Macaca fascicularis: one gene and its partners. The protein of the gene in region 1 interacts with the protein of each later gene in a pairwise test. Links are inferred from orthologs where the notes say so. Each region holds a gene or a part of one and is shown in the gene's direction. Other genes may lie near its edges.

Evidence for each region.
Region 2: the proteins of PAK5 (region 1) and PDLIM7 interact in a two-hybrid assay, tested with the Homo sapiens proteins (2 studies listed by BioGRID and IntAct). The two-hybrid records come from large-scale screens. The link is inferred for Macaca fascicularis from reciprocal best matches to the Homo sapiens genes PAK5 and PDLIM7.
Region 3: the proteins of PAK5 (region 1) and CARD9 interact in binary tests that used the Homo sapiens proteins (3 or more experiments, as listed by UniProt). The two-hybrid records come from large-scale screens. The link is inferred for Macaca fascicularis from reciprocal best matches to the Homo sapiens genes PAK5 and CARD9.
Region 4: the proteins of PAK5 (region 1) and CCNG1 interact in binary tests that used the Homo sapiens proteins (3 or more experiments, as listed by UniProt). The two-hybrid records come from large-scale screens. The link is inferred for Macaca fascicularis from reciprocal best matches to the Homo sapiens genes PAK5 and CCNG1.
Region 5: the proteins of PAK5 (region 1) and UXT interact in binary tests that used the Homo sapiens proteins (3 or more experiments, as listed by UniProt). The two-hybrid records come from large-scale screens. The link is inferred for Macaca fascicularis from reciprocal best matches to the Homo sapiens genes PAK5 and UXT.
Region 6: the proteins of PAK5 (region 1) and INKA1 interact in binary tests that used the Homo sapiens proteins (3 or more experiments, as listed by UniProt). The two-hybrid records come from large-scale screens. The link is inferred for Macaca fascicularis from reciprocal best matches to the Homo sapiens genes PAK5 and INKA1.
Region 7: the proteins of PAK5 (region 1) and PSMF1 interact in binary tests that used the Homo sapiens proteins (3 or more experiments, as listed by UniProt). The two-hybrid records come from large-scale screens. The link is inferred for Macaca fascicularis from reciprocal best matches to the Homo sapiens genes PAK5 and PSMF1.

What each region holds. Positions count from the first base shown.
Region 1 is NC_088384.1:77,744,157-77,747,656, forward strand, and holds part of PAK5 (serine/threonine-protein kinase PAK 5), read left to right. Parts: intron 1-2,398; coding exon 2,399-3,184; intron 3,185-3,500.
Region 2 is NC_088380.1:184,426,789-184,429,079, reverse strand, and holds the end of PDLIM7 (PDZ and LIM domain protein 7), read left to right. Parts: intron 1-1,011; coding exon 1,012-1,132; intron 1,133-1,219; coding exon 1,220-1,335; intron 1,336-1,471; coding exon 1,472-1,558; 3' UTR 1,559-1,791; downstream 1,792-2,291. UniProt on the Homo sapiens protein: May function as a scaffold on which the coordinated assembly of proteins can occur. May play a role as an adapter that, via its PDZ domain, localizes LIM-binding proteins to actin filaments of both skeletal muscle and nonmuscle tissues.
Region 3 is NC_088389.1:2,997,756-3,002,037, forward strand, and holds the start of CARD9 (caspase recruitment domain-containing protein 9), read left to right. Parts: upstream 1-1,482; 5' UTR 1,483-2,193; coding exon 2,194-2,545; intron 2,546-2,982; coding exon 2,983-3,120; intron 3,121-3,280; coding exon 3,281-3,585; intron 3,586-3,724; coding exon 3,725-3,904; intron 3,905-3,988; coding exon 3,989-4,132; intron 4,133-4,282. UniProt on the Homo sapiens protein: Adapter protein that plays a key role in innate immune response against fungi by forming signaling complexes downstream of C-type lectin receptors.
Region 4 is NC_088380.1:170,164,212-170,168,196, forward strand, and holds the start of CCNG1 (cyclin-G1), read left to right. Parts: upstream 1-1,185; 5' UTR 1,186-1,396; intron 1,397-2,815; coding exon 2,816-3,079; intron 3,080-3,985. UniProt on the Homo sapiens protein: May play a role in growth regulation. Is associated with G2/M phase arrest in response to DNA damage. May be an intermediate by which p53 mediates its role as an inhibitor of cellular proliferation.
Region 5 is NC_088395.1:47,757,226-47,761,242, reverse strand, and holds the start of UXT (protein UXT), read left to right. Parts: upstream 1-1,217; 5' UTR 1,218-1,259; coding exon of another isoform or gene 1,260-1,471; coding exon 1,472-1,569; exon of another isoform or gene 1,570-1,578; intron 1,579-2,525; coding exon 2,526-2,607; intron 2,608-2,749; coding exon 2,750-2,817; intron 2,818-3,099; coding exon 3,100-3,207; intron 3,208-3,441; exon of another isoform or gene 3,442-3,579; intron 3,580-4,017. Other genes in the region: uncharacterized protein, read right to left, coding at 1,260-1,473. UniProt on the Homo sapiens protein: Involved in gene transcription regulation. Acts in concert with the corepressor URI1 to regulate androgen receptor AR-mediated transcription. Together with URI1, associates with chromatin to the NKX3-1 promoter region.
Region 6 is NC_088376.1:112,833,676-112,837,252, forward strand, and holds INKA1 (PAK4-inhibitor INKA1), read left to right. Parts: upstream 1-1,322; 5' UTR 1,323-1,452; coding exon 1,453-1,503; intron 1,504-1,847; exon of another isoform or gene 1,848-2,236; coding exon 2,237-3,034; 3' UTR 3,035-3,077; downstream 3,078-3,577. Other genes in the region: UBA7 (ubiquitin-like modifier-activating enzyme 7), read right to left, coding at 3,352-3,481. UniProt on the Homo sapiens protein: Inhibitor of the serine/threonine-protein kinase PAK4. Acts by binding PAK4 in a substrate-like manner, inhibiting the protein kinase activity.
Region 7 is NC_088384.1:86,264,136-86,268,414, reverse strand, and holds the start of PSMF1 (proteasome inhibitor PI31 subunit), read left to right. Parts: upstream 1-1,479; 5' UTR 1,480-1,626; coding exon 1,627-1,755; intron 1,756-4,279. UniProt on the Homo sapiens protein: Plays an important role in control of proteasome function. Inhibits the hydrolysis of protein and peptide substrates by the 20S proteasome. Also inhibits the activation of the proteasome by the proteasome regulatory proteins PA700 and PA28.

The sequences.
Region 1 (3,500 bases):
TTGGGTCCATGTTTTTTACTGTTACAGAGCGAAGTTACAGGTAAGTAACGAAATGGCTAGAATGAACTATGTGGTACTTGATCAGATTCAGAGACATTAATATGGATTTATGCTTAGGTTAATATAGATGCAGATGGACAGATATAATTATAGGTGTGTGAGTGTATTCATGAGTTAGTCTACAAACATATTATTTCGGAGCTCTGTTTGCTGAGGCCTGGCAGTGATACCCAGTAGCAATGAGTATTCCCGGAACCAAATCTTAATTTCTAATACTGTTGGGGTTCCTTGGAGAAATGCCTGATTTGGGGGGAAGGGCAGGGAAAATAAAAGATAAACCTGGAGCTTCTTGTAGTGACAGAAAGTCAGGAAGTGCTCGAAAAATAAAAGGAAGAGGGATTGTGAAAGGGACACAGCAGGCAGCCTGAGAGAACTCTCAGTGACAGAAGCTGGAACCACTTGAGCAGCAAGGCAAATAACATAGTTTTGGCTTATAACCCAAAGTATAAAATAAATAACCATGAGTCCATCCATCCTTATAGATAAATAGATAATTGAATAAGTAGGTAAATGGGAGCAAATAAGCAAGTCTGTGCAGAATAATTCCAACTACTTTATATAGATACCCCGCAACATACACACACACACCCCAGAAGACAGAGCTTAAATCCCTGCCCTTTGAGTAGAGGCTACACTTATTGACTTGTTCCCAAATAATACAATATATGGAAAGCTAGGGGAGGGGAGTGGGACAGTGTGTATAAGAAACCTGGCAAATACGACCTCACCCAGGTAGTCAGGGCTAACATCATCATTACTAAGTCATGTCGATGTTATGTACCCTGAACATCATGTGATGAAATGTGACTTTACTCTCTGGTCTTCCTCTTCAAACCAAATAACCTCTGTTTAAACATGGGAAAAACACAAGAAAACCCCAACTGAGGAACATTCTGCAAAATACCTGACCAGTACTCCTCAAAACTGTCAAGGTCATCAAAAAATAAGGAAAATCTGAGACACTGTCAGAGATCAGAGGAAACTCGGAAGACAACAAATAAATGTAACGAGATATCCTGGATAGAACTCTGGAACGCTAGAAGAAAATTAATGAAATCTATAGGAACATGGAGTTTCCTTAATAGCAATGCAAGATATTAACAGAAGGGGAAACTGGATGAGAAGTCTATGAGAACTCTGTATTCTCTTTGCAACTTCTCTGTTAATCTAAAACTATTCTAGAACAAAAAATGTATTTGAAAGAAAAGGGTATAGAACAAAAGCATTAGTCCAGGACTCTGAGAGAAAAAAAAATAAAGCCTCTGTTTCACCATGGATAGATTTATAAAACATCAGCTCCAGGAAAACTTTGACTTCCTCCTCCAGTTTGAAGTCTTCTATTGTACCATCCAAGATGGTTTTGAACTCCTTGCTAGTTGCTCAAAGGTATTTTTCTCCTAAAATCCTGGAAGTCTGAAGTCACAACACTTTGTTCTTTGTTCTTTTATCCACCCCCATCATATTTTCCTGCGAATCCTGTCATTGTCAAGGAACAGCTGACGGTTTTGTAAGTGGTTTGCGATGTCTTTCAGTTCCTGGTATTCTTGTGTTATTTAGGTTCATTAAAGGGAACAATTTGTCACTAAGATCCAGGTGCAACCATCATTACTAAGCCACCCAAAATTCAGCGATGATGTTACGCAGAAGTGTGGCCAGAGCAAACAAGCTGTATAGTATAAGTATATATACTTAATAAGAATATCACATTTCATCATAAATCACACAAATAATCTTCAGGCTGTTTCCTAATTACAGTTTCAAGAAGTGCCTTCCTCATCTATAAAATTTCATAACCTCAGTTATTATGTGTCTTCCATATAAGGGTAAAAAATGTACACCCATTTCTAGTTATGTTAATACTTGGGCGACAATGCCTTCTGGTTTTGAAAATCATCTGAATAATGAATGTAAAACAGTAATAAATATTATTTTTTATTACCAAACAGTTATAGAGTGTTAAATTGTAATTATCAGCTCATCTATAGATGGTTGGGGCTTATTATTTAGGTAGAAGAAGCAGGGGGAAGGGATTTGCCTGTAAACTGGTAAATGAAACAGTGAGAGCCTATGTAGTCTCGTACATGGCTTTTTGGTGGTTAATTGATGTCTCTATTGAGATAGGTAGGAAGAAAATTGCAATTTGAGATTATTGTCTACTATTTCATTTATTTCACCACTACAGTTAATCAACGATTTTTTCTTTGTCATTTTGTATTAAGTGTTCCTGGGGTCTTTTTCCTTCTGTAGTTTAATTTGGATGGAGTGGGGGTGGGATGCCGCCGTCAACTTAAAGTCATGAAATATTTTCCTCAAACAGTATTCCTTTTATTATCCCCAGACAATCGTTAGAGGAAACAAACCCTGCAAGGAAACCTCCATCAACGGCCTGCTAGAGGATTTTGACAACATCTCGGTGACTCGTTCCAACTCCCTAAGGAAAGAAAGCCCACCCACCCCAGATCAGGGAGCCTCCAGCCACGGTCCAGGCCACGCGGAAGAAAATGGCTTCATCACCTTCTCCCAGTATTCCAGCGAATCCGATACTACTGCTGACTACACCACCGAAAAGTACAGGGAGAAGAGTCTCTATGGAGACGATCTGGATCCGTATTATAGAGGCAGCCATGCAGCCAAACAAAATGGGCACGTAATGAAAATGAAGCACGGGGAGGCCTACTATTCTGAGATGAAGCCTTTGAAATCCGATTTCGCCAGATTTTCTGCTGATTATCACTCACATTTGGACTCACTGAGCAAACCAAGTGAATATAGTGACCTCAAGTGGGAGTATCAGAGAGCCTCGAGTAGCTCCCCTCTGGATTATTCATTCCAATTCACACCTTCTAGAACTGCAGGGACCAGCGGGTGCTCCAAGGAGAGCTTGGCATACAGTGAAAGTGAATGGGGACCCAGCCTGGATGACTATGACAGGAGGCCGAAGTCTTCGTACCTGAATCAGACGAGCCCCCAGCCCGCCATGCGGCAGAGGTCCAGGTCAGGCTCGGGGCTCCAGGAACCGATGATGCCATTTGGAGCAAGTGCATTTAAAACCCATCCCCAAGGACACTCCTACAACTCCTACACCTACCCTCGCTTGTCCGAGCCCACAATGTGCATTCCAAAGGTAACGTTTGCTACCTCCTTTCCCTGAAGTGTACAAAAACCTCCACAAGGGTGGTGCTGGGATGATCTTTTTATACGATCAGATTGCCAACTACTTGTTTGCCTTTTAAGGGAAAATTAATATCAAAACCCACCCTGTCTCCACTTTTGAGGCCCCAGGGCAGAAGATTTAGGATAAGGCATATATATTCATTAAAATCAAAACCTATCTTTTGGGCCCTCCTACCTGGTTTCTCATTAAAAGGCAAATAAACTTATTTATTTGAAAGATATTCTGATATATGAGTGATAAATATGATGTGACTGTATTTCACTAA
Region 2 (2,291 bases), on another chromosome or scaffold:
CTTCTGGGCCTTACGTTTTGGCTGGAAGAAGAGGGGAGAGGCAGACAGTAAGCAATAAGCGCAATAAGTAGACTGCCTGGAAGTAATGTTAGATCACATTATGGAAAACAGGAAAGAGTAGAGCAAGAAGCGCTTGGGCGTGGTGTAGGGAAGGCAGCTGGCTGCTACTCGTGTGGTCAGGGTGGGACCTCGTGGAGAAGACTGCACTCGAGCGGAAACTTGAAGGGGGTGAGGGGTGAGCCTTGAGATATCCGGGGCAGAGCAGTCCAGGCAGAGGGGACAGCCAGTGTCAAGCCCAGGACAGGAGCGTGCCGGGTGTGCCAATTTCAGGCAAGAGGCCAGTGTGCGAAGGCAAGGTGAGAACGCAAAGGAGAGCAGTGGGGGAGACAGGTGGGAACGAGGTCAGACCTGCTGGCCTCCAGCGTCTGCATGGGGCTTGGTTCTTGCTGGGAGAAATGGGAAGCGGTAAGGGGTTTCATGCAGGGGGATACAGCCTGTCTCGGGTTGCAGGGGTTGCAGGGGCCTGCTGCGGCAGCTGGGATCAGAGGGAGGAGCTGTAGGCCAGTTGTGTGTGATCCCAGGGGCCAGATCGCTGTGGCTCACCTCACATCAGGGAGGCTGTGAGCAGCACGCAGAATCTGGATATGCCTTGGGGGTGGGCCCCACTGGATTTCCTGGGGGACCTGGTGTGGGGTGTGGGAGGAGGGTGTGTTTGGCTGCAGCAAATGGGAGAATGGAGTTGCCATCCGTGTTACGGGGATGCCTGTGGGAGGAGAGGTTTGGGGCGAGGGGATCAGGAACTGAGTACTGGACATGGCAGGTCTGAAGGCGCAGTGGACGTCCACTCAGAGATCTTGGAGTTGGAGATGGAGGCATGGGAGTCCTGAACGGTTAGATGTAGTGTTTACTATGAGAAGGAACAGGGCCCGCGGCCAGCTGCCCTGTGTTCCCGTGACCCAGGGGAGGGCAGGAGGGGCCTGAGCCTGCCGAGTGACTGGCAGCTCCTTCCAGGAGATCATGCATGCCCTGAAGATGACCTGGCACGTGCACTGCTTCACCTGTGCCGCCTGCAAGACGCCCATCCGGAACAGGGCCTTCTACATGGAGGAGGGCGTGCCCTACTGCGAGCGAGGTACCCGCTGGCCAATGAGGGTGAGGAGGGATGGTGCATGGGGCAGGCATGAATCCAGGTCCCCTTCCTCTCTGCTCCCATCCTCAGACTATGAGAAGATGTTTGGCACGAAATGCCATGGCTGTGACTTCAAGATCGACGCTGGGGACCGCTTCCTGGAGGCGCTGGGCTTCAGCTGGCATGACACCTGCTTCGTCTGTGCGGTGAGAGCCCCGAGCCTTGGCCTCAGCCCCAAGTCCACCAGCCCTCTGTTCATTGCCTGGGGGATGCAGGAGAAGCTGGGAAGGGGCCTCTACTGCTGCCCCCAACCCCATGTGACTGGGTCTTTGCTGTCCTTAGATATGTCAGATCAACCTGGAAGGAAAGACCTTCTACTCCAAGAAGGACAGGCCCCTCTGCAAGAGCCATGCCTTCTCCCACGTGTGAGCCCCTCCTGCCCACAGCTGCCGCGGCGGCCCCAGAGCCATGGCCCGGCATTTCTGGGTAGGGCTGGCAATGGTTGCCTTAACCCGGCTCCTGGCCCGAGCCTGGGGTTCCCCAGCCCTGCCCCACCCGCCTTATCCTCCCACCCCACTCCCTCCACCACCACAGCACACCGGTGCTGGCCACACCGGCCCCCTTTCACCTCCAGTGCCACAATAAACCTGTACCCAGCTGTGTCTTGTGTGCCGTTCCCCTGTGCACCCGGAGGGGTAGAACTTGAGTCACGTGGCAGGGTGGAGAGTAAGAGGGGTTTCTTGGGCTGGCCATCTTGGTGGCCCTCGTGATGCGGACGTGGCAGGCTCATGGTTAGTGGAGGAGGTATAGGCGGGACCCCATGTGCCAGGCCTGGTGCCCACAGACATGAGGGACGCCACTGGTCTGGCCTGGCTTGGAGGTTAGAGAAGGGTAGTTAGGATGGGCGTGGTGGATCATGCCTGTAATCCCGGCACTTTGGGAGGCCAAGGCGGGCAGATCACTTGAGGTCAGGAGTTTGAGACCACTCCGGCTGACATGGAGAAACAACGTCTCTGGTAAAAATACAAAATTAGCTGAATGTGGTGGGGCGTGCCTGTAATCCCAGCTACTCAGGAGGCTAAGGTGGGAAAATTGCTTGAACCCGGGAGGTGGAGAGTGCAGTGAGCTGAGATCATACCGCTGCGCTCGAGCCTGGGTGGCA
Region 3 (4,282 bases), on another chromosome or scaffold:
CCCAGCCTGCAGGGATGAGGCTCCAGCAGCCCCCACGCCGAAGTGCACAGTTCAGGGCAGACTCTGCTGCCCGTCGTCTGTGGATGGGGGGCGGGCTGTGCCCTGCCATCACCGGTGCTTCTGAAGCTGGTTTGGGGGACCCTGGGAGTGGCCTCGGTCCTCACGTGCATCCTGGAGAAGAGCAAGGATGCCTCGTGACAAGGATAATGATACCGAGCGACACTTCTGAAAGGGACGCTTCTCCCCCGTGTGCAGCTGGGTGGTGGCCGGTGCCATGGCCCCTGGCAGGCTGCAGTGGCCTCCTGGGCTCCATAAGGTGGGCTGCAGCCCTTTCATGACCAAGGCGTGTGCTGGGCATGCTGTGTGGCTGTGTGCCCCCCTGCACATGCCCTGCCCCGCTGTCCTGAGATGCCGGCGAGGGCAAGGGTGTCCGCACAGGGCAGAGCATGCCCTCCTGAAGAAGCCTCCAGAAACCTATGACCAGGTCAAAGCGGCTGGGTGCGGTCTGGCCTCGTCCAGCCTCCTGGGGGTCTCTGCTGTCTCTTCTACTTGCCAGGTGCCCGGGCTGGGCCTCTGGGGCATTCTCAGGACCCCTGGCCCCCGGCCAGGCTGGGAGGGCTGAGAGCAGTTTTCCCGTGGAGGGCAGAGGACTTCCACTTCCGTCTGCCTCTCGGGGCCTCCTGGGCTGCACGAATCAGAAGGCAGGCCACCAGGGACTGTCCCCCTGTGGGAGGACTGGCGGGACTGTGGAGTTAAGCCATCAGGAAGTGCACAGGCGTCCGGCACGCTCCTCCCTCCCTGCAGCCCCAGGCAGCATCTCCCCGAGGCTCCACGTCCCAGGCTCCTGGTGCGTCTGCCGTGCAGGTGGCTCCTTGGAAGACCCTCAGGTGGGTGGGTCTGGTACTTTTCTGAAAAGTGACCAAGAAGGTCGGCGCCGGCTTCGTTCAGAATCCTGGCGCTGATCCCCGCAGAGCAGCATGAGGCTTCCCACAGGCAGCCAGGCAGCCTCCGCCGCGCTGCCCCATCCCTTTCATGGCCACTGGGCGGAGACATGTTCATTTCAGTGGCATTACGGTGGCAGATGGGACCCTGCATTTCAGGCTGGGGAGGCAGGAAAGGGGCCCAGTGTTCCCAGGACTGTCCGCTGTGTGGCCGGTGTTTCTATTCAGCCCCTTGTCTGTCAAAACTGTCCTGAATGGGGTGACAAAGTACAGTGGGAAGTTGAGAAATTCTTCAAAAGACCAAGACCAAACACTTCAAAAGACCAAGTGTCTCCAGGAGTAGTGACCCAGCTCCTTTAGGCAGGAAACCAGCATTTCCCAGTGGGGCTGGAGGCTGAGGACCGGGGACCTGCGTGGGAGGCAGGACCATGTGGCTGTTCCCAGCCTTGCCCCAGTCCCAGAGGGAGTGGCTTTCAGCGGCTGAGGCTTCCACCGCGCTGGCAGAAAGGGACAGCAGTGGCTGGTCCCAACATGGGTAGTTCTCTTGTTTCAGCCAGTGGGATGGGGGTCGGGCCTCATCGGGGGCAGGAGAAGAGTCCAGAGATTGACGGGTGCCCGTCACCTAAGAACCTGGAGAAAACAGCACAGCAGCACTCCTGGCCAGCCAAGGGCAACACCGACAGCCCCTCCCAGCTTGCGGGGCCGGCGGGGAGTGACAGAGGCACGCTCCTGTGGGCAGCTCTTCCCGGCCGGTGCAGCGACCCTGGCAGCTGGGGCAGGGCTGGGTGGCCACTCTTGCATCATCAACAGCCGGCCATGGAGGAGGGAGGGCACAGCGCGGGATGTGAGCAGGCGTCGGTCAGGGGAATGGGGAAGTTCCGCCAGAACCGGCTCCCCCAGCTGCTGCCCTAGTGGGAGGGTCATTGGCCAACCTGCTCTCACCCAGCTTGGGCTGGCCGTAGTGCCAGGCAGGTGCCCACAGCTGCCCACCCGTGGAGGTGGCTGCCCCTGTAGGCTCCAGGGCGTGGTGGGAGTGTCCAGGAGGCGGAGGCCAGAGGCGAGTCATGCCGTGGAGGCCGTTCCTCTCTCAGACCCCATCTGTGTCTCCCCCGCTGCATATCTGGGTGACACGGATGGCCAAGGGGCAGGAGCAGGGGCTGGGAAAGGCTGTGGAGGGGCCCTCGGCTGGTCTGGCGGGGAGCGGGTCACTGTCTCTGCCGCCTCCCTGGGGGATCCAGCATGGGGATGGGACATGGAGCCGGGTACCTCTCCTGGATGCCCCTGGGCTGACCCCCTCGACAGCCCTGACGAGAGCCCAGGCCCAGCGTCTGAGAAGGAGCGGGAGCCGGGCCTGGGTGGGGGCAGGAGCCGGCGTCACTCTCAGCGGCTGCCCCACACCCCCCAGCCTGCCTGCGAGGCCATGTCGGACTACGAGAACGACGATGAGTGCTGGAGCGTCCTGGAGGGCTTCCGGGTGATGCTCACGTCGGTCATCGACCCCTCGCGCATCACGCCCTACCTGCGGCAGTGCAAGGTCCTGAACCCCGACGATGAGGAGCAGGTGCTCAGTGACCCCAACTTGGTCATCCGCAAACGGAAAGTGGGTCAGTGCTGCCCCGCAGGCCCCAGGCCCCAAACCCAACCAAGGAGCCCGCTTGGAGGTGGCTGCACGCTCTGCCACCCTGACCCTCGACCCCAGGAGAGCCCCGCCTGGCTTTGCCCCTGGCGTCCCAGTGAGGCCCAACCTCAACCCTGGCACATGGCCACCCTATCCCCCAGCCTCTCCTGCCAGCTCGGTGCTGCCAAGAGGGGCAGTGGGACTCCCACCACAACGGGGGCTCCTGAGACAGCCAAGGGATGGGTGGACAGCACTTTGTCCCCAGCCTAGTACCAAGACCCACAGGGTGCCTCATCCACGACCCAAACCACAGCACACCTCATCTACATCCCAGCCTCCATCTGTCCCTGCCCCCGGGCCCACCCACCCCAGCCCTCTGCCTCGCCTGTGCCCCGCCCCCAGTTAGGCCCCTCTGGCCCGCAGGCGTGCTCTTGGACATCCTGCAGCGGACCGGCCACAAGGGCTACGTGGCCTTCCTCGAGAGCCTGGAACTCTATTACCCACAGCTGTACAAGAAGGTCACGGGCAAGGAGCCGGCCCGTGTCTTCTCCATGATCATCGGTGAGTGACGGGGAAGGCGGTGGTGGGGGCGGGCAGTGGTGCTGGGTCCTCTGCCCAGGCCCCATCCCTAGGAGCCCTGAGCTCCTGCCACAGCGCAGGGCGTGATAGAGCTGGGCCACCGGGGAACACAGGCACCGTCTAACGCTGGCGCGGCCCACAGACGCGTCCGGGGAGTCAGGCCTGACTCAGCTGCTGATGACCGAGGTCATGAAGCTGCAGAAGAAGGTGCAGGACCTGACCGCGCTGCTGAGCTCCAAGGATGACTTCATCAAGGAGCTGCGGGTGAAGGACAGCCTGCTGCGCAAGCACCAGGAGCGGGTGCAGAGGCTCAAGGAGGAGTGCGAGGCCGGCAGCCGTGAGCTCAAGCGCTGCAAGGAGGAGAACTACGACCTGGCCATGCGCCTGGCACGCCAGAGCGAGGAGAAGGGTGCCGCGCTCATGCGGAACCGTGACCTGCAGCTGGAGGTGCGCCCACTGCCCCCGGGGAACCAGGCCCCCCTTGCCTGGCCTGGTGGGGTCTGCAGGCTGGGGCGGTCGGGGGTGGCCCCGTGGGTCCGTTGTCACCACCTGGAGGGGACAGCCGGGCTCACCGGACCTTCCGCAGATTGACCGGCTCAAGCACAGCCTCATGAAGGCCGAGGACGACTGCAAGGTGGAGCGCAAGCACACGCTGAAGCTGAGGCACGCCATGGAGCAGAGGCCCAGCCAGGAGCTGCTGTGGGAGCTGCAGCAGCAGAAGGCCCTGCTCCAGGCCCGGGTGCAGGAGCTGGAGGCCTCCGTCCAGGTGGGGCCGCAGGCAGGGCGGGTGCAGCCCGGGCAGGACAGCCGGGGCCTTCCCAGCCAGGCCATTGCCTTTTGCCCCCTTCAGGAGGGGAAGCTGGACAGGAGCAGCCCCTACATCCAGGTACTGGAAGAGGACTGGCGGCAGGCACTGCGGGACCACCAGGAGCAGGCCAACACCATCTTCTCCCTGCGCAAGGACCTCCGCCAGGGCGAGGCCCGACGCCTCCGGGTAGGAGGGCAGGCAGGGCGACGCAGCTCCTGGGGGCCAAGCCACGCTGGGTGGGCTGAGCTCCGCCCACTCCGTGCCTGGAAGGTGGGGCCTGGGGACTCCTATGGCCTCCCCCCACATCCCAACTGGCCTGACCACATGCTCCTGAGC
Region 4 (3,985 bases), on another chromosome or scaffold:
TATTGTGAGGTATTAATGTTTTCTTTTGTTTTTCCTTCCCCTTCCTCCCCACCCCTTTTCCCCCTTTCCAGAGTTTTGTTCTGTGGCATTGCCTTAGGTAAGTACATGGCAGGGCAAACAGCAGAGGTGACAGCAAATCTTCCAGATTTTCACTTTGTCAAAGTAAGAGAGACTGAACTGGGGCCATGAGAACAGAGACATCCAATTACTGTGTAATTCATAAGAGTTTAGAACTGACTCCTTGTGCACCCTTTTTCAGGCCCTTTTACTAATGGACTTTTCTCACTTGTGATGATCTGGGAGAGCGAGAGTGAGGAGAGTCTAAGAAGAGTTCAGGCTAATTATTTTCCCACTAACCTGGCATAGGAGAGGTTCATAGAGATTAAATTATTTACAGTAAATAAAAAGAGTAATATTGCTTTACATTCTGTTCTGTAGACTGGGATTCACACTCACCACAATTATTCCTGATAACAGTCTGCCACCCACCTTTCATTTTAAGCAATTGAAAAATTGTACCAACTTTTCTCTTTAAATTTGCTTTAAAAGCAAATTCAGAAAATTGCTAGAGGGTCAAGAAATTACACAGTCCAACTCCATTATTTGATAAATTGTACAAAAAGCAAACTAAGGCAAGAATCAACTAACTTTCAAAGTTCACGAAGAGGGCACTCTGGAAGTTGATAAACCACCGCACTATATAAATTCCACTACCTCTTTATCTGTAATGAAAAAAATCAAAGGTTGACTTTTTTTTTTTTTTAACTACTCACTGTATTTTTAGAAAGATGGGGCAGAACCACTGTAGAACTCCTAAACCCCACAGAACAAACAGTACATTCTGGAATGATACGCTGGCCAATCCGGCTGGCAGCCGATTGACCTGACCCAGGCAAGGGTTGGTGCATAGAGTATTTAGTTCGGCCCCCTACTGAATGAAGACACTTTGTTAAATTCTCCAATGAGAGACGCTTAGAGGTAGGGGCGTGGAAGAGGGCCGGGGAATTTGACGCCAGATAACGGGAAGTGTGAGCTGATTGGCCGGGCGTCTCACTCCACGGCCCAGCCTTTTACGGATAGCGGAGGCCATCCATCAAAAGAATTACACCAATCAGAGTTGAAAATGCCCCCTTCTCGCGAGAAAGCCCCGCCCTCCAATATATTCCTCTGCAGGGCAGGCGCGGCCCCTTCGGCTCCGAGCTGACCCTGATCAGGGCCAAGTCGTCTCGGCTGCGCTGCCGAGACCTCCACCCAGGACAGCGCCCCCTCCCCGGGCCTCTCTCCTCTTGCCTACGAGTCACCTCTCCTCGTAGGCCTCTTGGATCTAATATCGTGGGGTGAGGGGAGCAGGCCCGGGGAGGGTGGTTACCGCTGAGGAGCTGCAGTCGCTGTCAAGGTGAGTGGGACTGCGCGGGGGTTGACCGCCAGGTGCGGGTGGGGAGCGGGGTTGGGGACGTGGAGCGAGGAGTAGGTCTGGCCCGCGCCCTTTTCCGCAGTTAACTCTACCGCTGCTGTGAGCACAAGCCCAGGCTAGTCCGGGGCTGGAGGGGCGGAGCCGGATCCGGCCTCCTGGGGTGCCTTAGTGTCTGCCGGCCCAGTCCCAGGGAGTAGCCAGGGGAGGAAGAATGGAACCCCTGCAGTTAGAGGTTCCTCACATGACCAACTCTGAAGATCTCCGCCTTCCTGTCTTTAGGTTGGTGTGGGGAGGGACCTTCCGTGTATCTAGGGCTTAGCTTGTGCCCGGGACATGGTTGTGTTATGCACACTTAAATCAATGGAATTCCCAGGTTCACCTTTCAGACTAGGTTAGCAACACCCACCGCCCCCCGCCCCAGTGCGTGCTCTTAATGCCACCTTTTAAGTTTCCTTTCCTAACAACAATAAAAGTTGACTAATATTGAGTATTGTATGCCAAGAACTGTGCTATACTCTATAAGTGGTGAATCTTGTTCAGTCTCTTCACATTCAGCGACAGATATTGTTACCCTCATTTTATAAATCTAGAAATAAGCTCAAGCTCATTATTGTTCAGTGTTTTTTAGGCACCTACTATATGTGCTAAGCTCTTTACGTGATTTCATTTAGGTCACACAAATCTGTGAGGTAGGTCATAAACCTTATCACTACTTTATAAATGAGGAACTAAGTACAATTAGGTAACTTGAACCGTTCATGTTGTTAAAATGTGGCAGAATACTTAACTACCATCTGCTTTTCACTTTCGGTATCCTGTCTTACGGTGATTATTCGTGGTTATCTATTGACAAGGTATAAGTTGAACAAGTATTTCTTGAAGATTTGCATTTTATTTTTCTAAAAAGCATGTTTCCGGCCGGGCGCGCTGGCTCACGCCTGTAATCCCAGCACTTTGGAAGGCGGAGGCGGGCGGATCACGAGACCAGGAGATCGAGACCATCCTGGCCAACAGGATGAAACCCCATCTCTACTAAAAATATAAAAATTAGCTGGGCGTGGTGGCGCACCCCTGTAATCCCAGCTACTTGGGAGGCTGAGGCAGGAGAATTGCTTGAACCGGGGAGTCGGAGGTTGCAGTGAGCCAAGATCGTGCCACTGCACTCCAGCCTGGCAACAGAGCGAGACTCCGTCTCCAAAAAAAAAAAAAACACACATTTAGGATGTGACCAACTTGTAGAAGGGAAATAAATAACAGATGGCACTTTGCAATGACTTAGATGCACTAGCCGCATTGGGGGATGGGAGACTTATAAATCATTTCTTGGCCCAGTGCAAAGATGGCCAAGGAAAGCAGGAAGGACTACTTACACTCCTTTCTGGTCTTTTTTTCTATATATAGATGATAGAGGTACTGACAACAACTGACTCTCAGAAACTGCTACACCAGCTGAATGCCCTGTTGGAACAGGAGTCTAGATGTCAGCCAAAGGTCTGTGGCTTGAGACTAATTGAGTCTGCACATGATAATGGCCTCAGAATGACTGCAAGACTAAGGGACTTTGAAGTAAAAGATCTTCTTAGTCTAACTCAGTTCTTTGGCTTCGACACAGAGACATTTTCTCTAGCTGTGAATTTACTGGACAGATTCCTGTCTAAAATGAAGGTATGTTTGAAGCTACACTTTTGTAATTTTGCTCAGTGTGTTTTGGAGATGGAATTGTTACCTTTTGGCTGATACTCACAAACTTGACCTTTTTTATTTTCAGCACGTAGCCAAAACATTAATTTTGTCTACTACAGCATTAATATGATTTCTTATCATAAGAGTACATCAGGTATTAGACTTAAATTCTGAAATGAAAAATAGTCTAATATCAAGTAACTAATTGCAGTTTCCTAGTAAGAAAATTGGCTGTTTTTAAAAAACCCTTCTTGATAGGTTGGATTTGTCCATTTATTTACTATTTTTAGATATAAACAAATGCATTAGTGGCAGATATTTATTAGAGGCTACATTGTGGCTAAGAATATACTTCTTAATCACTACCCATATATAAAATTGTAAATGTTATAGCCTTAGACCTAGTCAAGACTTGCTTATGCTTGGCATTTCCAGCTTCAGTGTACATGCAGTGGGGAAGAGAGTGTATCTGAAGGAGCAACTATTTTTCTATACTAGATAAACAAGACTATGTCACTTTCAGAGCTTAACTGTTACAAATGCATCTCCCTTTCCCATACACCTATGGTCACTGGAAGAAAAAAAGATATGTGGCAATTAGAAGGAAACTCATATTTTAGTCCTTGGTATCTAATACAGTGTATCACAAGAAAGGACTTCAATATTTGTTGAAGATTCAAGAAATTTGCTTCAATAGACTAATTAACCTCTTGACATTTCACATGTGTAGTTACTACCTTTGAATCTATAAATGTTACATAAATGAATAATATGTAGCTGTCCCCTCAGGTATAATTCAGTCTAATGTGAGAATAAGATCATTGCTCTTATGTACAAGTCATAGTAAGAAAAGTAACTACCTTATTCTTTGAAAGAGGTATAAGTGTA
Region 5 (4,017 bases), on another chromosome or scaffold:
CTATAGATGGAAATAGCATTTGGAGATTCATCCCATGGTCTGGATTCTTCTCCAGGCAAAGGCCCATTCTTGCTGGGTTATAAGTTCTTGTTTGAAAATCTAACCTGAATTTAAGGCATTTCAGTGATAGACTGGATTAAGAAAATGTGGCACATATACACCATGGAATACTATGCAGCCATAAAAAAGGATGAGTTCGTGTCCTTTGTAGGGACATGGATGCAGCTGGAAACCATCATTTTCAGCAAACTATCACAAGAACAGAAAACCAAACACTGCATGTTCTCACTCATAGGTGGGAACCGAACAATGAGATCACTTGGACACAGGAAGGGTAACATCACACATCGGGGCCTATTGTGGGGAGGGGGGAGGGGGGAGGGATATCATTAGGAGATATACCTAATGAGTTAATGGGTGCAGCACACCAACATGGCACATGTATACATATGTAACAAACCTGCACGTTGTGTGCATGTACCCTGGAACTTAAAAGTATAATTTAAAAAAAAAAAAATCTAAACTGAAAAACAAATTCACTCAGTCACTCTAGTGCATAAGAATAAATTCACAAAAACCTTACCATTTAAATAAAAACATGGGAACTATGCCTAACTACAAGATGGCCAATATTCTGCAGAGGACTTCAGCCACCCTCTCCATTTGACTATCAAACGAGGTGATTAGATATAGTGCGTTGTCAATTTCCGCTTGAGCCTCAGTTATAGGTTGCAGGTACAGAGCTGGAGTTATCAAAGATGAATTTTAGAAAATCTGTCTCTGTTTAAAACCTTTTAAGTGCTCATACTCAGTCCCATTGCCAGGAGTGAAACCCAAACCTCCCGTATGACAAATCAATATCCAAGCCGACAGATCACACGGGATCTTCCTTATAGACCAGAACCATAGTCAATTCTTAGGTCCTTTTAAATATTAAACTCTTCACTTCCTCTCTCTACCTCTACCTGTGCGTCGCGCCTAACTTAGAACCGCCAAATCCCATTAAATCCCACCCTCACCAGCGACGCACGGTCTCCATAGGCTCCACGCGCCGCTTTTGCAGTCCCCCATTGGCCGGTTTATTGCCAGATGGCCTGCTCCCACGCCCTAGTCATCTTTGATCTCCTCGGATTCCGTGAAGCCCCGCCCTTCTCTTCTCCCCTTTGGCCCGTCTTCCCCAGCTGGCTATTTGGTTGGCCAGCGCGCTTGCCACTTACGTCATTCACCCGCGCCACCCGGAAGCCGCGGTTCCTACCAACCGTTTTTATTGCTGGCGGCCCTGAGGTAAAGGCCGCGCTTCGGTGTCCCTGGGTGGCCGGGTCCCCGAGTTGGGAGGGGCGGAAGGCTGAGCCCCCAGCTTGAGCCGGACAAGTCGATTCCCAGCGTTGAGAGGGTAGAGATGAACTGTGTGTGAGGCCAAACTGGAGCGGTCAACGTGGTCTTCCCCCTCCCCACTCCCCAGGAGCCCATCATGGCGACGCCCCCTAAGCGGCGGGCGGTGGAGGCCACGGGGGAGAAAGTACTGCGCTACGAGACCTTCATCAGTGACGTGCTGCAGCGGGACTTGCGGTGAGTGACAGTGCAGAGGGCGGGGCGTCTGGAACATTCCACGTGGTGGGTGGGGCGTTCAGAGTTAGGGCCAACCCTTTGGATTGGTGGGCGAGGCGTTCAGAGTCCGGCCCCGCGCTCCTTGGAGCGTGAAGTGGTGATGATATCCGGGGTGCAGTTTGGCTGGGACGTGGCGTTCATAGCAGGGGGCGTGTCAGCGCATGCGCGGCCTCCGATGTTTGACGGATTAGGGCTTGTTTTCTGGAGCCACAGTTCTCAGGTTCGAATCCTGGCTCGGCCATTCTTCATCCTTGTGAATACGTCATACCTCGCCTTTCTGTGCCCTATAAACTTCTCTGTGAAATGGGGAGTTTTCTGGAACCTTCCCCATACAGTGGTTTTGAGTTTTTCATATGTCCCATCTTTGTAAATAATTTAGTAGCATGGATGCCTGAAACATAGTAGAGGTTAAGTATGAAGAAATATTATTGCAATTTTTGTTAATCTAAGCAAGAAGTAAGGTGTTCAGAACTAGGACTATGAGCATCCTAAAAGGGATGGAGGATTTTTCTAGGGTGAGGATGGGACATTATGATTGGAGTTCAGTATTGGGAGTGTAGTAATAGTAATAATAGCTAACATGTAGAGAGTTTACCATTTGGTAGGCATTATTCTAGATGCTTTGAGTAAATGCTCATTTAATCCTAATGACTCTACAAGGTAATACTGTCATCTGCATTTTATAAATGGGGAAACCAAGTCCCAAACAGGTTCCTTACTTGCCAAAGCCACACATCTATAAAGGACAGAGCCCAGATCCAAACCCAGGCAGTCTGACCCAGAGCCCAAAATTAACTTGTACACTAAAAAGCCTTTTCAGCGTATGGTGACGTGAGAGTCTCAGAGGGTCATGATATGAGGTATACTAGGAGGAATGGGGCTGCCTATTGGTCACCATTGTACTTTCATCCCATCAGAAAGGTGCTGGACCATCGAGACAAGGTATATGAGCAGCTGGCCAAATACCTTCAACTGAGAAATGTCATTGAGCGACTCCAGGTAAAGACTATGGGGTTGGGTATCATTTTTTTGGTGTGTGTGGGTAAGGGAGGGAAATGGGAAGAGAGACTCCAGAGCCAAACCTGTCACCTGACCTAAGAGTTCACCACTGACCCCTACCTCTTTTTCCCTGGCCCCACAGGAAGCTAAGCACTCGGAGTTATACATGCAGGTGGATTTGGGCTGTAACTTCTTCGTTGACACAGTGGTGTGAGTGTCTACCCGCCCCTCTGAGCCCACAGGGTTCAGCTTACCCCTTCCCTCATGCAACATATATTTTTTTGAGTATCTTCTATGTACCAGGCACTATACAAGGTTTATTATCCCAGTAGGATATAAGCTAGGCGCTGGGGATGTGACAGTGAATAAAATAGGACAAAATCCCTGCCTTCCCAGAGCCTCAATTTGGGGAAGGGTGGGGAGCAAAACATACACTCTGCTAAACAGTGATAAGGACTTCCCCCGCACTTCCTCTAACCTCTCTTTCCTCAGCCCAGATACTTCACGCATCTATGTGGCCCTGGGATATGGTTTTTTCCTGGAGTTGACACTGGCAGAAGCTCTCAAGTTCATTGATCGTAAGAGCTCTCTCCTCACAGAGTAAGTCCATTCCATGAGGATAGTGTGTAAAAATACCACCATTTCCAACACTCTTCTCCCTTTCCCCATGGCTGCCTAGAATGATACTTAAGGACTCATCTCCCCTCCTCCTCAGAGCTGGGGCTGAAGAAATGTGGTTGCAAAGCCCATGTATAGCACATAATAAGCATTCAAAAAATGATCTTTGTATCGTTCATTCATGCAGACATTTATTGGGAATCTTCTGTATGCCAGGCACTGTGCTTAGCAGTGGGAATGCAGCAGTGAACAAGACAGAAGAGTTCCTTGAAGGCTTAAAATCTAGAAGGACTATACTGTTATACATAAATACAATTATGACCAGATCCATGAGGTCTCAGCCTGTTAGAGTTGGTAACAAGAAAACTAGTTACCTGTGATTTCACTTCCTGCTAATTTTACTATTCATTCACTGTGTTCCTGCCACACTGACCTTCACATGCTTCTTTCAGCACCCCAAGAATGATCCCACCCCAGGGCAATTGCCGTAGCTGTTCTCTCTGCCTGCACTGCCCTTTTCCCCAGTACCCACATGGCTTCCTTTCTCCTCACTCATCTCGCTTAAATGTCGCTTCCTCGATGAGGCCCTCTGTAACCTAACTTTAAAATCACAGCCCCTGGCATGCTTGATTCCCCTCCGTCTACTTTTTTTCCCTAACACTTATCACCCCCTAATATTTACTGTGTAATTTCTTGCTTTCTCATATTGTCTCCTCCAATTAGAATGTAAGTTTTACAAAGGGGGAGCTTTGGTTTATATCCCAGGTGACTAGAGTAGTACAAACATAGAGT
Region 6 (3,577 bases), on another chromosome or scaffold:
ATCATTGGATTTTCCTCTCCAAATCCACTCTTCTCCAGTCTTTCCCAGATCAGTTTATGGCAATTTCATCCAACCAGCTGTTAATGCCAGAAATGTAGGAGTCATGCTTGATGCCTCTTTTCCTGCCCACATCCATGCATCAGCAAGACTTGATTTTAGCTCCAAAGCATACCCCAAAGTGACCCCCCTTCAGTGCACCTGCCCTGCCCAGGCCTAGGCCCTCCCCTTCGTTGCCTGGATGACGGCAGGGGCTTCCACTCTTATTGCAGAATCCTTTTCTGAAAGCAGCTGGGATTATCTAAACAAGAGCTAGCCCAGGTCATTCCTGCTCAGAGGCCCCCATTGCTCCTCATCACACCAAGAACAAAACCCACATTCTGCTCTAAGGCCGTTAGAGTCTGGTTTTGCTGACCTTTTCCCTTCTGCCGCCACCACCAATCACAGACACCTGGGCCTTCTTTATGTTTGGCCCTGTCCAGCTCCTGTCCCTCGGGGTCTTTTCCCTGGCTGCTCCTTCTGCCTAGAATGCCCCTCCTCTTGATTGCATCCTGATGTCACCTCCTCTGAGATTGCCCTTCCCCAGGCTAGCCCATGGCCCTCCTTCCCTGGTATTTTCCTGTAGCTGGTATGTCCAGTCTGTCTGCAGCTACACTACTCTTGAGCCTAGCCTGTTTGATAGAGCAACCTCAGGAGACAGGCTCACCCCAGCACCCACCCTCAGTCTGCACCTGGTACCGGCAGAGGGCATGCCGATGGTCGCGTGTCGCCGCTGGACTCGCGACTAGCCGAGCACTCCCCACTAGAGGGCAGTCCCGTCTAGCTCAGTTGGAACGCGGCTGAGGCCCCGCCAGTGCGCTGCCACAAAGTCCCACCCTCTCTGAGTCCTCAGGCCGAACCCCACTTCCATCCTGTTCAGGGAGTGCCGAGGCCAGCCTCAGGAATGGGTCCCGTGGGTCAGGCCCCGAGTGGGCCACAACCTCTCTGGGTCCGACCATACGGGGCGCTCTGCCTATGTGCGGGCGCAGCATGACGCCCCGTGAGAGGGACCGCTATTTCACCATTGAAGAAATGGGGAGGATGAGGCCCCCGCACGGAGGCGACCTGTCCTGCGTCACGCAGCAAATGCAGGGTCCACTCAACCATCTGGGGGCTTGGGTATCCCGGGCCCGACCCCGTCCGGCTTCCAGCTACGACCCCGCCCTTCCCCACAAGAACGGCGGCGGAGTCCGGAGGGACGCCGGGTTTTAGCCCCTCCCCCTTTGGCCGTGGGGCCGGGGCGGGGCGCGGCTGCCAGATGTCGGGGCGGCGGCGGCGGGAGCTACGGAGAGCGAGGAGCCGCGCAGCCAGGCGGAGGCTGAGGGCGCCGCTGGCCGGCCCGCCCAGCCCTCTCCGCGCGGCTCCGCCGGGGTTCCCAGAGGAGCCAGTAGGCTCAGTTGGGGCCCCGGCACGGACATGCACAGCGCTCGGCTTGACAGCTTCCTCAGCCAGCTCCGCTGGGAACTGGTGAGGCTCGGGAGCGGGTGCGGTTAGGGAGGACGCGTGCGGGGTGCCAGGCTGCTGCCCGGCCGGAACAGCAGACGGGTGCGGGGTGGCTGCAGCGTGCCCGTCCGAGGCGGGATGGGGGCGGCGCGGGGTGGGGGCGGCGCGGCTCATATGGCTCAGATGGTCCGCGTCGGATTTCGGAGGGTTGGGAACTGCGCTGAGCATCAGATAACAGCATCCAGCTGGCCGTGCTGCTGGAACGGCGCGGGAGGAGAGAGTGGAAGGGGAACTTCTTTGGGGGTGGGGCATGGGGCGGCAAGGGACTAACGAGGTGCTAGCACTGCTGTGAACGCCCCCTACTTCAGGCTGGCCTATGCCTCCCTTCTCCACCCCTCACCTAGCAAGCGCTCTTTCTGTGAAAAACGCTTTGGGCTTTGGAAGCTGAATCCCCCTCCAGTCCTGGGCAGGACCTACTTCCCTGCTCAGGCCCACAACACTGCCTGCCCGCCCGCCCGCCCTGGTGGCGGGTGTCGACTTGCCCAGCCCTGCGTGCTGCAGCCTGCCGGACTGCCACCAGGTCGGTGAATGAGAACCACACCAGCTTCGAGTGCCAGCACCCCACGCCTGCCCTGTGCTCACTAGCACCCTGCTGCCCAGGCCAGCAGGCCTATCTAACCCTCCTGGACCCTCTGTACTCTGGGCTGACCTGGTGACAAGTGATACCTCTCTGACTTCTGCCCTCTCTTCCCCTCAGTTGTGTGGTCGGGACACAGGCTCACCCCCAATGCCTGGTCCCCTGCAGCCAACCCCCCAAACTGGCCCAGATGTGCAGCCCCGCCACCAGCTTAGGGCCTCAGGTGCCTTGGAAGAAGACTCAGTCTGCTGTGTGGAGGAGGAGGAAGAAGAGGCAGTGGTGACAGAAGACAGGGGTGCAGCCTTGGGAGGCCCCAGGGAGCATGCCCTGGACTGGGACTCTGGCTTCTCGGAGGTGTCAGGCAGCACATGGCGAGAGGAAGAACTACCTGTTCCCCAGCGCCCAGCACCCTCAGCACAGCCCCTTCGTAGGCAGCGCCTCTCAGTCAGTGGCCTCCCCATGCCCAGCAGGGCCCCTGTAGCCAGTGTACCACCTGTCCACCGTCCACGGCCCAAGTCCACCCCAGACGCCTGCCTGGAGCACTGGCAGGGACTGGAAGCAGAGGACTGGACAGCAGCCCTACTGAATAGGGGTCGCAGTCGCCAGCCCCTGGTACTGGGGGACAATTGCTTTGCTGACTTGGTGCACAACTGGATGGAGCTGCCTGAGACAGGGAGTGAAGGAGGTGATGGAGGTGGGCACCGTGCCCATGCTCGGCCCCCCCAGTTCCTGCTTGGCCTCTCCGAGCAGCTTCGGCGCCGGCTGGCCAGGGCTCGGCGGACAGCTATGGCAGGAAAGCGGCTGTCATGCCCACCTCGCCCAGAACCTGAAATGCCTGCGGATGTCTCACGCTTCGCAGCCCTCATGAGCTGCCGTAGTCGCCAGCCCATCATCTGCAATGATGTCAGCTACCTCTGACCCTGCCCTCCAGCCTGGGACAATAAAAGCCTTTTTTCTAGACTGTCCTGGCTTCATACCCCTGAGGCACTAAGAGGCAGCCCCAGCCCTGTGAGGCACTGCCCAGGCAGACAAATCTGAAGAGCTTTTTGTCTCTGTGTGAAGGTCCCTGTCATGCCCATGTCACACCTGTGTGCATTAGTGCACTGTGTTCTATCATCCATCCTCTCCACTATGCCTTCCTTCAACAAGCATTTATTGAGTGCCTACTGTGGGCTTACAATGCAGTGCTTGGGATCCAGGGCTCCATTGAGCTAGGTGATGGGGTGGCTGCCTTGTCACAGCTCATAGTGCAGAGGTGGAAAGGCAGTGTCTTCCTCTTCACCCTCACAGCTCAGCTCCAGCACCAACACCCGCAGCCCAGGAGCAAGTACCTGGCCTGTCACCTGCTGAACCAGTTCTGTCACCCTAGTGGGGGTGGGGTTTAGGGGAGATTGGAGAGGTGAGCAGTGGCAGGCAGTGGGCAGCCTGGCATGGACTAGAGAGGGTGCTGGCAGGCCATCA
Region 7 (4,279 bases), about 8.5 Mb from region 1:
AAGGTCATTGCAGGTATAAAGGGGATGGGAGGACAGTTGAAGGAGATTGAATCAGAGAGGTACAGGACTGGCAGGGCTGGGGCAGGAGGTGGCAGACCACATGCAGGTTCCTGCAGACCACGGGGAGGACTTTACTTTTCCATTGAGCGTGATGGGAACCCTGTGAGATTTTGAGCCGAGGGATGTGATCTGACTTGTTTTCTTTTTTGTTTTTGTTTCTTTTTTGAGACGGAGTATCGCTCTGTTGCCCAGGCTGAAGTGCAATGGTGAGATCTTGGCTCATCGCAACCTGCACCTCCCGGGTTCCATCGATTCTCACGCCTCAGCCTCCTGAGTACCTGGGACTAAAGGCGTGCGCCACCACGCCCAGCTAATTTTTGTATTTTTAGTAGAGACAGGGTTTCACCATGTTGGCCAGGCTGGTCTCAAACTCCTGACCTCAAGTGATCCACCTGCCTCGGCCTCCCAACGTGATGGGATTACAGGCGTGAGCCGCCACACCCGGCGGATCTGACCTGTTTTCTAACAGAATCTCTCTGGTTGCGAAGTGCAGTACAGAGAGAGACAGGAATGGAATGGGGCAGTTCCGAGGCTGATGCCAGGCGTCCAACTGAAAGATGACAGGAGCTTGGACCAGGTTGGTGACTGGGATGGGGAAACTAAATTTATTTGGGTAAAAACAATAAGTGGATTTCATGAAACTTGTTGACGTAATGGGTGGTAAAAATCATAAAGGGGGTAGTCAAACAAATGATTGAAATTTGGTAATGGGTCAGGAGCTTCAGCTCTGCGGGCAGCAGTTGTGTCTTCTTGGAAAAATGGTTTCAACTCTCAGCCGTTTTGTCATCTGCAAAATGGGGATAATAATGGTACATCATAGAGTTGTTGAGAAGGTGATGTAAAGGTTTTAGTACAGGATGTAGCACACAATAAACACTTAATAAATGTTATCTTAGAAGCCAGACTGCTAGGTTCCTGTAACCATCTCAGTCATTCACCGGCTGGCTGTTGTCACCTTGGTCAAATTAGCCCTCTGTGCCTCAGTTTCCTCATCTGTGCAATGAGGCACATTAATCGTTAATATCAACTGCATAGAGTTGGGTTGTGAAGATTAAATAAATGAATACAAGTAAAGCATTTAGAATAATGTGGCCGGTAGTAAGCACTGCGTACGTATTAACGATTATTAAGAATGTATTTTAGCCACATTTCCCAGCCCCTTCCCCGGCCTAGCATAACCCATTTTGTGCATGGGAAGTCTAGCTTTCAGCAAGGTGGCCTCTTGGAGGGCGCTGTGCTTGCGTGAAGCGATCCTGTCGGCCGCGGCGAAGACCCAGGTTCCGGCTTTGAGGGGCCTCGCCCCGCGCGGTCCCTGGCGGAACCTTTTACTTCTGCGCTCGCGTTGCCAGCCCGGCGCGCCTCACGCAGTTGCGCCCGCTCCTGGGGCTACTTCCGGCGGCCCCGCCCCGCCCCGCCCCCGGGCGTCTCCATCTTGGTCTCAGGTGTAGACTCTGCCAGAGCTAGCGCAGGAGTGAAGCGGAGTTATAGCTACGTCGGCCGCGGAGCTGGCTCACTGCACTACCCCCTCCCCCTTCTCTCCTCCAGACGCCGAAGTCGCTGGCGCTCATGGCGGGCCTGGAGGTACTGTTCGCATCGGCAGCGCCGGCCATCACCTGCACGCAGGACGCGCTCGTCTGCTTCTTGCATTGGGAAATGGTGACACACGGCTACTACGGCTTGGGTGTCGGTGACCAGGTACGCCACGGAGCCGGCCAGGGTGGAGGAGGGAACTGTCTTCTGTCCAAACTCAGAGGCCCGGAGGCCTGGTCCAGAGCGCCCGATTTCCCCGCCTTTCCCAATGCAGGGCCTGGGGCACATGACAGCGTTGGTAAAACCTGCGGGTCGGAGGTTGCTCACCTGCTCCAACCCAGCCCAGAGTCCCTCACAGCACAGCTGGCACAACATGATTTGTAAACTCAAGGGCAGAAACTCGCTTCAACACAGCCTGGCAGCCTCTCAGGCCAGGACTGTGTGGACCTAGCATTCCATAGAATGGAAAAGAATCCAGACGAGTTTAGCTCCCCAGAGCACTCCTCACCCACCTAATCTCCTCTGAATTCCTTCCCACCCAGCCTCGGGGTGAGGGGACTGACTCAGTTCCCCCCTCATACCACACTAGAGCCTCCACCAAACATCTGGATCCAAGCACAGGTACGGGAGTGAGCTTTGACCTACTCAGCCCCAGGCCACGGCCCTTTTTTCACCCCTTAGCATGGGCCCAGAGAGTTCACATGCCTTTCACGCTTTACTGAAGGGCCCAGCGTAGTCCACTCGCTACTGCCATCCCCAGCTCAAGCTCTAGGAAACAGTCCCCCCTAGAATCGTATACACATACAGCCTGGATGTGAGAGTCATATAAGATTTTCTCCTCATAGCTGTCCCCATAGGGCCAGCCCCCTCCACTCCCATCCCCAGGCTCCACCTCTTACACCTAGGGACGTTGTTGTCATCCCCACCGAGTTCCAGGACCGCTGGGCCCAACCCACCTCACTAATTCTTTGCTCTAGCATTCTTCTGTCTTTGCTGTCTCTTCCCTGTGACCCTCACCCCCACATCCACATCATCCTAGACATCTGCTTGCTGGGACAACTGGGCCTGCCTCCATGCGTGCCCCTCACTGTCACTGTTCTCTCACTCTCAGAACCAAGACCAGCCATGGGAAACAGACCACCCCGTCACCCTTCCTCTCCTTTTTGACTGCTTCAGTCCTCAACTCCTCTAATCATTTTTTTTAGCTTCTCAAATAGAGTCTTAATTCTCCTCTCCTGACACAGCTTTAGGGACCTGTCTTCAAACTTGTTTTGTACATTCTGAGCACTTAGGCAAGTATCCCCTTTCCCCTCCCCCTCACTGCTGTCCCTATTCCTCTCTGTCTCTTAGAACTAAAGACCAAGACCACGATACCCCTCTCACACTTTACCTCCTTCAGCAGGAACCAGAGCCTAAGAACTGTCAGGGATTTCTGGCTCTTCCCCTGCCCGCCCCCGACCTCAGTTATCTCACTGGGACCCCAGGTACACACTCAGGATCCCCATTCCCACCTCCAAACTCACACATACTTCATCTCTCAAATGGGCTCTATGACTGGAGATGAGGATGGAAAAGAACAGCCAGCCTTTCACACACACACACCTGGAAGCAGGAACCATTTCACCTTCCCAAACACATCTGTCCCTGTCCTTTCTCTTTGTGCTGCCCTTCATTCCACATACCTTCCAAATGCCTTTCAGCATTTCAGACCTTAGTACCAGGTAGAGACACATTTCAGTGTCAGGCTCCTGTTTCAGTGCATAGTCCCCCTAACAGAAATCTTGTCTCCCCACTTGTCCTACTCCAGCTTTTTAATCTTGAGCAGCTCTTCACTTGCCCCAGTCATTTTATTTCAGCTTTTCGTAGATTCTTCAAAGAAACTGATATCTGGGATGGTGCAGGGGACAGTGGGGCTGAGAAGAGGAGTAAGATTTGATTTTGACCTGGGAGCTCCTCCATTGGCCCTCAGCTCTCTTGTCCTTCAGATGGAACAGCTGTGCTCTGCACTGTCCCTTCTCATGTACCTCACTCCCCTTACATACCCCTAACTAGCTACTTCTACTCTGCCACACTGTCAGAACCCTGTCCACCTCTGCTCCGGAACTTGTTCTAGAGGGTGTGCCTGATGCCCTTCTCTTCTTGCCATTCCACAAATAAATATCAATCGCTGTGAATCTGCTCCCACCATTCTTACCCTCACTCATCCTGTTGAATCACTTTGACAGTTTGGGAACATCAGTTCACATAAGTCGACACCTTCTTTTAGCTGGCATTATCACCTTTCCATACACTCAAGGCTGCAAAATTTTCGGATGAAATGTACAGAAAGAATACAATCTCATTTTAATACTGTTTTTTTCTGTTGTTGTTGTTGTTGTTGTTGTTTTTCCAAAAAAAAGGCCTTGACCAATTCCCCAAGGTCCATCTGATTTTTCTCTGTTCATGGTGCTATTTTTTGAGCTTCTGCAGGCCAGAAAAAGATGCTGGTTTCAGAAATCTTTGGGGAGGCCCAGGACCCTGGGGAATGGGGTTTTTGTAAGGCATTGCCACCTTTCTTCCTGAATCTTGCATGCTCTTGAAGGAATGGGTGTTTGGATTGCAAACTAGAGCGTGGTGTATTTTTGCTTCTCTCTGCCTTTTCTCCTTGATTGCCAGTGGGGCTCAGGTTGCACTTGTCCTCCTGTCACTT